Linked DNA regions of Drosophila melanogaster. The gene in region 1 interacts genetically with each later gene. Each region holds a gene or a part of one and is shown on either strand. Other genes may lie near its edges.

Region 1 (4,859 bases):
CGTGGGAATCCATGACATCGTTTGTGGTGCAGCGATGCAGGACGCTGGAGAACATGGTGTTCGCCATGGCAAGTTAAGCACTAGACAATCATTTGGAATGTAACAGAATATCTGGTTTGCGTAAGTTTACCCTTCTTGACTCAAGCCTCAGCCCTGCGAAATGTGTCTTCTGCAGTGCTTCTGGTGCCCAGTTCAATTTATTACTGCCAGAGGTTTACGAACCTGAACCCAGAAAGTCGGGTTTAAGAAGCGAAGGAACTGGCTCTTTATTTGAATTGCCTCAAGTCTGGGCATCAACTGAGGGAGTGCAACTCCGGCATTTGCCGCGCGCATCTATGCACCACAGCCTGCTTCACCTAGAAAACTTGGCCTCGCCTTCCCGTCATAAAAGATCACCTGAGAAACGCTTACTTCTCACTCGCATCCTCTGCACTGAATCCTCTGCAGCTCCTTAGCCTCTTAGCTCCTTGACGTGCTCTGCTCAACTGCACATTAAAACAACTCAATTCGCAAATAAGCTTCAACTCAGGAAGTCAAAATCGGCAGCTTGTTTTACCGTAATAGGCGATTTTTCAGACAGATGGTTTGTCAGTAAACATTCCAATACGATCTTAAACGTCTATAATACTCGACCAACATCACTGCTGGTATTGCATCCGATATAATTAAAAGTCAGCCGTCCTTGAATATTGACATTAGCAACTGGAACATACCCCAAAACCTTAGGCTCGCGGACCCAGAGTTTTATCGTTCTCAACAATTTATTACTGCCAAAGCTTTAAGAACCTGAACCCATCATGTCGATTGGAAGAAGCAAATAGACATGCTCTTTGTTTAAGACTGGGCATCAAGTAAGGCAGTGCAACTCCAGCAATTGCCGTGTGTGCGGATCTAAGCACCACACCCTGCTTCATCAGGAAAACTCAGTCTCGCCTTCAAAACATAAAAGATCACAGACTGAAGCTTGCCTCTTACTCGCATTATGCCGAAGAACCACCTGCATTGCCTGGAACGTGTGCTGCTCTTCTTGCACAGGATCTTGGTAAGGATGTTTTGCTCCTAGCCTCTGGAACCATATTAGTGAGGAACCGTTAATAAATCTTCGTCCGTGCTTATTAGCTAAACATGAAGAGGACTTAGAATTTCTGAATCAATTGATGTCTTTGCAAGCCTTCAGCTCGATATCTGTTGACAAGTATGCTTATAAAAAATGTGTACCCACAAAATACACTATAAAGAATTTATTTAAGTATTTAAGTGTAAGCAAATTGTCGATAACGGCATTGCTGCCTATCTAAAACTTTTGATGAAAGCTGAAAGTAGACCAAATTACTTACTTTATTATAAACATTAATATATAACATACCTTTATTTAAATTTTTCAATATTTTTTTTAATATCGGTAGAAAGTTGGAAAAAATACGAAAACTTAAAACAAAATTAGAAATTGTTCAAAAGTGTGGAAGTGACACAAGATTTTCGACAAATCGATAGAAATTTACAATACTAAAAATATATGAAAAAATGTCATAAAATTTTCAATAGGTTTGGGCGTGGCAGTTTTGGGAGGTTTGTTATTATATTGAATAAAAAAATTTCGTTTATTTAAGCACAGAACCCTTAATTTTTTACCTTTAAAGTCAAAAATTCAACTTATTTCTCAGCTTGTAAACAGTTTCTTGACAAACTGTATATATATTAGTGGGACACAGCTATAACATCGAATAATAAGACCGTTTTATAGTAATTATTATTGTCTATGGCGCTATTAGTAAATGTAAATAATAAAATAATACATCAGCTTGTGTATTTTCGTTGTTTGAAAATCAGAAATTTCCGTTTGCTTTAAATGGCTAAAGCGTTGCCGCTCATCAGTTGTGTATGATTTGTGGATGCTTTGCTAAACGCATGTTATTAAACTTTTGTTCATTCCAGGACTCTTGGGCCGATAGCATAAATGAGGAAGATGTGGAGCCCAAATTTAAGTATCACCGTCTCGCAAATGATTTAAAATACATGCTCAACGCTGATGTCATCACTTGTAGCGCTGTACACTTAAAGGTGTGAGCCAACCACATATTATATAAGTATTTTAAAAAACGTACATATTTAGTTTCTTATATTTGGAACTTTCCGAGGACGTGTTTGTATATTTGACCATCAAGGAAACTCAGTCTACTCAAATCTTAGCGCTAGCGAACGTCACACTCACCAAGTGGCAGTAAACAATATAGATGTAGATCATAAGGGCGAGTATGTGGCCACATGCTCCGACGACGGAAAAGTGAGTATCTGAGCTTGATAGCAATATAAAACTTAATTCTCTTTGCCTAGGTTAACATAACGGGATTGTTTAGCTCTGATAACAATCACAGTCTCAGCTTTGGCAAATTTATAAAGGTCGTATCACTGGAGCCCGATTCCAAAGCTCACATTAAAAGATTTGTAGTGGGTGAGTAATATGAATATTTTCTGTTAATTTATCGAGAGCAATTATTCTTTTTATTATTCTTTTGCAGGCGACGACAAACTTATCTTGTACGAGCGAAACTTGCTAAAGAAGCTTAAACCAGTTGAACTGTGCTCAGTCGAAGGCAGTGTTTTGTCAATCTGCTGGCATGGCAACTTTATTGCCTGGGCAAGTCACATAGGAGTTCGAGTCTACGATTTAAACGAAAGATGCTCACTTGGATTAATAAAGTGGGAGGTTCCTCCTCAGGAGCGATTAGAAAATTTTCGATGCCACCTTCGTTGGTCCAACAAGCATACATTATTAATTGGCTGGGTAGACACTATTCGAGTTTGCGTAATTCGAAAGAGAAATTCAATCGAAGCTTCAACTGGCAATCTGCCTGTCTACATTGTGGATCCAAGTATGTAAAGTTTATTAAAAAATCAACAGTGATTTACCGTAACCAAAGACATTAGAATAACAAGATGCGTAACGCTATTATTATTGAGTTTTATTATTACTAGTTTTTGTTCAAGAGCGTGAGAGTGGAGAGCTCTACTGCCATCAGCTCTTTTCTACGTATACAGAGACAGCTTGTATGCACACGTATGCTTATTCATTGTAAATTTGACAAAATGTGCCCTTCACTTTACAAGTTCTTAGACTTTAAATCTATATTATATATGATTAATTGGTACCATATAAAATATTCATGTTTTGCATTGCTTAAGGCAATGATATTATTATTTGAATAACACTTAGAAATAATAAATAACAAAATAAATTTCAAGTATGACTATATTAGAATATTTATCATTCAAGTATTCAGCTTGCGACGTGTTAAAAATTAGAGTAGACATTGGTTATTAGGTGCTTATAACCGCACGTCGTGCCTCAAGAATTCAACTTTGCATTAAACAGGTAGCATATTTGTATTTATTTTATAAATATTAACTTTTAACTATGTATGTTTGTATTATTTTTATAAAATATATTTTTAAATATGTATTTCCTTTTTTTGAAAATTATTGTTTTAAATTACAAAAGTAATAATAACAATTCCGGATCGGAACTTAATTTTATTTATAAGTTGAAATATTGATTAACTTAATGTTAATGCTGTAAAAGGTATTGCTCACAGTAACCTGTTGAAATTTTGCAACGAAATTGACCAAAACTTCAAATATGTAAATTCGATTCTTATATCAAAATTGATTTCAGTTTGAAAATCGTCTTCTAGCCCAAGTAGGCACACATATACACGTTTTCGTTTATTGTTTTTACTCACAAAAGCAAGCAAATATTATATTTATATTTAGATTTATTAGGCTCTCAGTTATTTTTTCTAAAGTCCCCAAAAAATTGCCGGCATAGGACAAAATCAATGAGTGGCCGTTACGCATCTTGTTATTCTAATGTATTTGCCGTTACTAAGTGTTCTGTTGACCGTTTTGCAGGTGTAAGGAGGGGCGTGGCCAAAGTGTTTTTGGTATACCGATGGCAAGAGAAATAATAAAACAAAGAATAATTGAAACAGTTCAGGTTCGGTTTATGGGCGTTAGAGTAGGCGTGACAAAATTTTTTTTTTTAAATTTGCAAGATACAAAATATCAAAAGGGGTTGTGGCAACATTTGAACACACAACAAACTTGACCTGCGTCTATGCCTTTAGAACCTGTATGCTTAATCTCAACTTTCTGGCGTATGTAGTTCCTGAGATCTCGACGTTCATACGGACGGACAGGCCAGATCGACTGATCAAAAAAAATGTATATATATCCTTCAGATGGTTGGACAAACTTCTCTCTATGTGTTAAATACTTTTCAACGAATCTAGTATATTCTTTCATTCTACGAGTAACGGTTATAATGAAATATTTTGGGCTCACGCAGTGAAATTGAAAATCCTCACATTTATAATTTCACTTTACCATTGCAGTCTCGACATTTCAAACAACTTTCTACGTATGTGGGCTTGCACCATTATCTGCAAAGCAATTGGTTGTTCTTGGCTTTCGCAAGGAAAAAAGCTCTTGTTTTAAAGCCCTACGACCTGTATTATGCGTTATTGAATACAAAATGAATAATAGCGAGGAAATCTGCACAGACAGTTTAACTTTACGCGGCTTTGAGGAGTACACCGTGAATGACTATAGTCTGGGTGGCATAATCGAGGAGAATCGCTTTTATATTGTGGCCCCAAAGGATATTGTGGTAGCTAGTCTTATTGAAACAGATGATCGTATAGAATGGTTGATTAAACACAGGTAAGCCAATAGTCCTATATTTTCATGACATTAATACACTAATAATCTACACTACTACTTTTTCATCGGAGAATTACTGTTAGGTATTCATATTTTGGCTTAATTACTGCTCAATTTGTTCTACGGACTTATTGCTAGGT
Region 2 (6,830 bases), on another chromosome or scaffold:
GTCAAATTAAAATTCTTAAGGGTAAACGATGTTTCATATAGTACAAAATAAAACAAATCTGCATTGCAAGTGTTATTGGATCCGAGATAAAGTATCTTAAATGACAATCATAAACAGAAATCTGCTGTGAGCCATAAATATGAATGCTTTTAAAAATATTACTAGGTTAAATGAATGAATAAATGAATATATTAAGCCGTTTTTCAATTCTCTTTCAGTATATCAGTTTACGGAAAATAAAAAACTGCTTTATTTTAAGAACAAATATAATGATTTTCGGGTTGAGATCCCTTTTACTGAAAGACCCGAGAAATATATTAACCTTTCCAAGGAACCCATTATAAATATTCGGTACCCTTTGAGCCAGAAATCCAGGTAACTCCTTCGTTATGGTTAGTGTATGACAAATGTGGAAAAACTAGCGCGACGGGCGATTGGCGACTAGCGCGACTGGCGGCGACCAGACCAACAAACAATGTCCAGCGATTTCCGATCGACAAGTTGGGGCCAAGAGCGTGATGAACGCGTCAAGAGGGGGTGCGAGGGAAGTCGGAATGGGAAGAGGAGGGAGCGAGAAAGAGGAGACGCAGCGTGTGCAAGAATGCTTTGCTCCGCGAGTGTCATTAACTCGTTTGCCTTATCTCGAAAAACGTAAACGAAGCTGCATGAGAGCTTTATTTACGTATGTAGGAATGTGTGCGTTTGGGAAAATTACCTGCGAAAGGTGCCGCCCTGCCGCCTAATTGATAAGTTTTGGTTTCATATTCGTCTATGTAAGTAATTAACTATGGTAATTTGGGAAATTGGGTATATTTGGAGCGCGGCGTCTTCTTACCTGTCGCACATCAATGACGCACGCTGCCGACGCCGACTTCAGCAGCGACGCTGGCAGAGGAGTTTACGTTAGCTCTCTTGCTATGTATCTCTCCCACTCGAACACAAACGTGTTGCGCTCACCAACACCAAGGCGAAATTGCACAGCTGAGCTGGTGAAAATACAGCGAATGCGGTGCACAAAACAGAGGACCGAAAACAATAACGTTATGTCAATTTGTTGCTGCCTGAGTTGTTCTCTGCCTGCTGCTCCCGTTTGTTGTTACTTTTTTTTGGCACGTGAATCGACAATCGCATTTTTCAAATTCTTGCACTCATTCGCTTTTGTGCATTTGTTTACGTCACTGGCTCATACACACACGCACGCACACCCGCACACATACGCGCGACTGAATGAAAGGCGCGTAAAGAAGAGAGTGGAAATGCCAGAAAGAGAGCGATTAATTTGGCAAAGCGCCGCACGCTCAAATAAACAAATATTTTATTTATATTTCGTGTCCCAATCACTGCGCCATTGTTTAGTACTATTCGTTAGTGTCTGCTAATGCCCATTTTGCACAAGTGTCTTATGCATGGCAACAAACAATACAATAATCGAAATTTCCACTCGCGTTTTGCTCTTGGCCCGCAATCACGGGCTGCTGCAACTGGCAGATAAGCGAATCCGATTAATAATCTAGTGCGCCGCGCATTGTTTTTGGTTACGCGATTATTCAAATGGCTCGGAACACACTTTATTGCATTTTAATTAATATCTGCTGGCCTCGCGAGCAGCAAAATCGTCCGCTGCACTGAACCGAACGCGATGAAAACAAAGATGAACTAGCGATGGAACAGATGGCGATGTGAGGTCCAACCTGCGATATTTCGATGTTTGCTAAGTCGAGTAGTCGATTGGTCCTCTCACTCGATAAGTTTTTAAATTTTCGATATTAAATTTTTAACTTTGTTGAACTTAACATTAAATTTTATACTCCCATTAAGTTGTAGACTGTTTCCAGTTATAAGCTTATTTCTAAATGAATAATTTAAAATTCCTGCTTCTTAAAGGAACAAAAACAAATATACGCCTTCCTCAGAATTTAAAATTTATCTTTACCTCTGTTATTTGTCCAATTAAATTAAGTTTTTATATAAAATCATCGATAACAGAAACCGATAAGCAACCGAAAGACATCTGTTATGCAAACGAGTGGGCAGTCCTTTGATGGGCGTAGAAACTCATTGATAAAAACAAAATCACTTAAAATTATTAGTTTGGGGGAGGGATCAGGATTGAAAGAACCGGGAGCATGTCGGAGCTTAAGGCCCCGTCGCTGCAATCTCTGCTGGAATCGGAGCGAGGATCCACAGACAGCCTACTGGCCGAATCCCTGCAGCTGGACTTCGAAGATGTGAGTTGGGATTACCCGAAAATGGAATGGCCTAGATAACACTTTATCTTGATTCATCCAATTATAGCTTGATGATGCCGAGTTTGCAATACCGCCCACCGATGTGCTGCCTACTTTGGAGGCGGTGCTCAGTGAATTTGAGGCGGATTCGGATGTGGCCTCCGAGTTTGGAATGCCGGTGCCCCATGCCACGCCCACGCCCTCGATTGGTGAGGATTCCACGATCAGAACAGACGGCAGAGGTGGTGGAGGATCCATAATGAGGTACACCCTCCTACACGGCATCTCGGCACAACTTTCCTCAGCGGCGGAACGTGTCAATGCCGGAGCAGCCAGTTCCTGTGCCGTGGCCGCATTCATAGCCATCGGAACATCGCATGGACACATTTTGAACTTCGATGTAACCCAAACCCTTAGGTGGGCCCATCAGGACAAGCATGGTCAGGGTGCGGTGGCCAGTTTGGCTTTCAATGCGGATTCAACGCGACTTTTGGCTGGTTTTTCTAGGGGATTGGTTGCCATGCTGGACACTCATACGGGTGATGTTCTCCGTGAGCTGTTCGACGTCATAACCCCAAACACCGGCGTACTGCATGTCAAGTGGACCTCGAGATCATCACTGGCCTTGTGTGCCGATGCCGGCGGATCGGTGTGGTCTCTTAGTTTCACCCGGAAGCTGGGCATCCGTGGCTGCCAATCGAGATGCCTCTTCTCCGGCGCTCGCGGAGAGGTCTGCGCCGTGGAACCTCTAATAATGGACTCCCAAGGACGCCATGAATTGGATCAGTACTGCATTGTGGCTCTGGCAACGTTATCCAAGTATTTTATCGTCACTGTCCGACCAAGATTAAGGGTCATCAAATACCACGTGCTTCAGGGACCTCCTGATTGCTTACCTCTCCTCGCCTGGCATTTAGTACTCATTCAAGCGGCAGATACTTCCCGCTCCGTGGACCCCGTGATTGTCGTGGGCCGCGGGAATCAATTATTCTTTCACCAACTGTTTGTCTCGAACGGACGAATAACGCTTTTATACCTTCGACATGTCCAGCTGCAGGGGAGTCTCCTCTCCGCTCACTGGCTGGGACCAAAGTGTGTTGCCTCATTGGACACGGCGGAAATACTTCATCTTGTGGATGTGCGATCCAGTAAGGAACTAGAATGTATGGATATGGCCAACGCAGGACTGGTCTACGGATCAGCGCAGTTTAAAGGACTAGCCACTGGCGGAAATGTGTCACCTGCCTTCGCTTTAGCCGGCTCAAATGCCTGTTATAACTCAGTGGTTTCAAGAGGAACCCAGTTGTACGTTTTAGGCGCCAGGTCCCTGCATATAATTGGAGTTAGAACTTGGTCAGAGAGAATAAGCTTCCTGGTAAGATCAAAACTGTGGATTTAAATGGAAAATCAAAGCCTCAACTTTATCGTTTCTAGGTAAAACACCATCGATGGCAGGAAGCCTGCCAACTGGCACTTGATGGCTACATTGCCTCTGTGGATCGCCCGAGGAAACGTGCTCAAGCCAAGGAGCGTATCATCATGCTTTTTAAGGAATATATCGCCAATTCCGCCCGGGCACCAGAGTATTGTCTCGGCGCCATTGTTAACTGCTTGATCACCGTGGGTGAACTGGATCTTCTGTGGACACAGCTGTGGGAAAAGTTACACAACAGCAGCACTGAACTTTTCTTACAGCACATTTCCGAGCATATAGAAAAGGAAACGATACATAGTGTTAATCCAGTGATATCCCAAGCTTTGGTGGATTACTGGCTGGAACACTCCCCTGCCAAACTTGAACAGCTTATCCTCAAACTGGATTGGATGTGCCTGGATCTCAACCAGGTGCTTAAGGCTGTGAAGAAGCATCGTCTGTTTAGGGCTCAAATCTACCTCAACACCCAAGCTTTGAATGACTATACGGCGGCGCTCACGGAGCTCCTTCCATTGGTGACCCCAGATGAGACGGATTTGGGCAACTGCCTGCTGGTCTACGTTTCTAGTTGTCTGGCTGGAAGAGAATATCCCAGCGGAGAAATTCCCGTGGAGCTGGTGCATCAAGTCAAGCACGATGTCCTGCGTTGCCTGACCTCCCAGCATTCCAAGGAGAATGCCGGCGATGAACTGCCCTATCCCTATCTTAGAGCTCTCCTCAAGTTCGATACTCGGGAAACCCTAAACGTTATATCGCTGGCGTTTCAGGAACGAGAGTTTAGCAACGAGCTGGGAATCTCGCATCGCAAGAGGATTATCAATCTGCTACTGGAAATCATGTCGCCCGAGAATGCAACGGTAAGGTTTGTTAACCATAATTGCTAGTCATCCAACAAAAAACTCTTTATCTTCCAGTGGGCGGAGATTGGTTGCTTGCTAAACTTCATTGCTCAGCAGATTTCAATGCAATGCCTGCCGCGGGATAGACAGCTTCTGGAACGAGTTTTGAGCCACTTGGCGCAGGAGGAAATTGCTAACGAGAGCAGTCGCCAACACTCCGAGCGAGAGAATGCATGGCACGAGCTACTATCCTCCAACTGCCTGGCCGAGATCAGCAGCGATGAGGAGCAGCTGCGCTTAGCAGAGAAGGCGAAGTGCTATTGCGTAGTGGAGTACCTATTGGAGAAGCTTGAGCGATACGATACCATCCTGGATTCCTACATCCGAAACGAAGCCAGGCACGAAACCATGTTTGCATATATGGAACGCCATGTTGCTTCACCAAAGAGAAGCATTTTCCGGCAGTTGAAAAGGAATCTAAGGGAGCTACTAACGATCAATGCCAAGGAAACCACTCGCTTGCTGTCTCTGCACTATCCAGAAAAGATTAATGAGCTTTTAGATAACCTGAGAAGGGAGGAGAACTTGTTATATCTGTTCCTCAAGTGCCTCAATGATCGTAAAAGCGAACTGGAAGCCAGTCAAATGGAGTTACTACTGGAATTATATTGCAAAATGGAGTCGTCGTCTACCGTCGAAGAATTCCTTCGATCCAATTCGGGTTATCGCTTGGAGAATGCCATTGCCATAGCTGAAAGCCATCACCTTAACCGATCTGTGATTTATCTGTATGAAAAGCAAGAGAGCTATGCGAAAGCCTTTGAGTTGTCCATGGAACTGCTTAAGTCCGCTGCTGGCGAGGAAGCAGCCAAGGAGGCACAGACTATATCGGCTCTTTTGGCTCGGTCTGTGGAAACGTTACCAGCCCAGGAACTGGAACGCTGTTGGTTCGCTCTCTTGCAATATATTCTGCCGCATCAGGAGCTTCAGTCCATTACCAAATCTCTGCTGCACGAGGCCTCACAGCATATCGATCTGCATAATTTGGTTCAATTGATTATGAATACCCACAATGTGTCAACTAGTTTCGGTGATATAAAGGATCTTCTAATGGGTATGCTGGACAGTTCGAGGCACAAAACGGAGGCTTTGCGAGCATCTGCTGGAGCCCTGTGTCAAGATCTTCACCTGAAGTTCGTCAAGCGCTATCAGCATGCGCATCGTGGACTTTGGGTGACCACCACAAAGTGCTCCATGTGTCGCCAAAGGCTGTACGATCACAGCCAGGTGCTAATATTTGGCGGATGTGGGCATGGCATACACGAGCAGTGCATGGAGGAGTCGGAGACTCAGTTTGAAGAATGTCCACGGTGCTTTACGGCCATTCCAGATCAAAGTATTGGTTTGCCGCGGCCAAATAAAAATCTAATCAGCATTTCCTCGTCCTTGGAAATGGGTGCCTTGCAACTGAAGGCACCGCCCAGGCGATTTATATAGTTTCATCGTCCTTTTTGTATATTCCATTTATTCCTCTATGTATTTATTGTACAACTATGTGTATTGTATGTGTAAGTAAAAAAATTGCATGAAAAATCCGTATTTTTATGGTTCTTGTTTGAGTCATTCCTTTACTTTCGTATAAAATGATCATCATTTCAATTGGATATATTTACAATTCAATACAAAAGTATGTTTATACTTCAGTATGTTTATACTTTCTAAAGCACACTTTAAATTATATTAATCACAAATTGCCATTTTTCCTTTAGCTTACAGGCTGTCTGGTAGGATTATCAGCAGGAAAAGTGTTATTATAATGCTGTATGAATTCCGTGCATTGTTCAGCTGTTAAATAAGAAATTCAAAGGTTTAAAAAGTGATGCCGCAATTCAAGATTACAAATTAGCTTACCCTTGGGAAAAGATAGGGTTTCATAAAGTTTCAGGTTTCTCATTTGGAAAAAGCGGTATACGCTGTGGAATATTAGATCATCCTTTGTCTTATGAGCCGCCTCCAGAAACTTGCGAGCTGGCACTTTTTCCAGACCCATTGAATTCTTAGCCAGCCTTAAGGCATCAATAACTTTGCCTTGACCCAGCATTACTTCAATGATGATCTAAAAAATATTGTTAGTTCATACATCTTAGTAAAAATATCTAATTATAGTTATATCCACCTCATGTGCTTCAATCCTGCCCAGCATATCGATGGCCACCTGGGATATCGCCGTATCCACATTTGAATGCGACAACAAAAAGCAAGCCACCGACTTGGATTCCAGCAGCATTGAATAGCTGACCAAGCGTCGCAAGGTGTCGAAGCTGCGAT

The links.
Region 2: of lt (region 1) and Vps8, changing one enhances a phenotype caused by changing the other (phenotypic enhancement), as found in Drosophila melanogaster (one study listed by BioGRID).

Annotation. Positions count from the first base shown.
Region 1 is NT_033779.5:22,923,047-22,927,905, forward strand, and holds the start of lt (light), read left to right. Parts: upstream 1-1,748; 5' UTR 1,749-1,849; coding exon 1,850-1,879; intron 1,880-1,935; coding exon 1,936-2,061; exon of another isoform or gene 2,062-2,113; coding exon 2,114-2,284; intron 2,285-2,334; coding exon 2,335-2,452; intron 2,453-2,519; coding exon 2,520-2,873; intron 2,874-4,391; coding exon 4,392-4,719; intron 4,720-4,859.
Region 2 is NT_037436.4:6,490,487-6,497,316, reverse strand, and holds Vps8 (vacuolar protein sorting 8), read left to right. Parts: upstream 1-2,019; 5' UTR 2,020-2,126; coding exon 2,127-2,228; intron 2,229-2,295; coding exon 2,296-3,603; intron 3,604-3,662; coding exon 3,663-4,520; intron 4,521-4,577; coding exon 4,578-5,999; 3' UTR 6,000-6,087; downstream 6,088-6,830. Other genes in the region: bulli, read right to left, coding at 6,268-6,347, 6,414-6,618, 6,679-6,830. UniProt on the Drosophila melanogaster protein: Part of the class C core vacuole/endosome tethering (CORVET) complex involved in endo-lysosomal vesicle trafficking and lysosome biogenesis by facilitating docking and fusion of endosomal vesicles.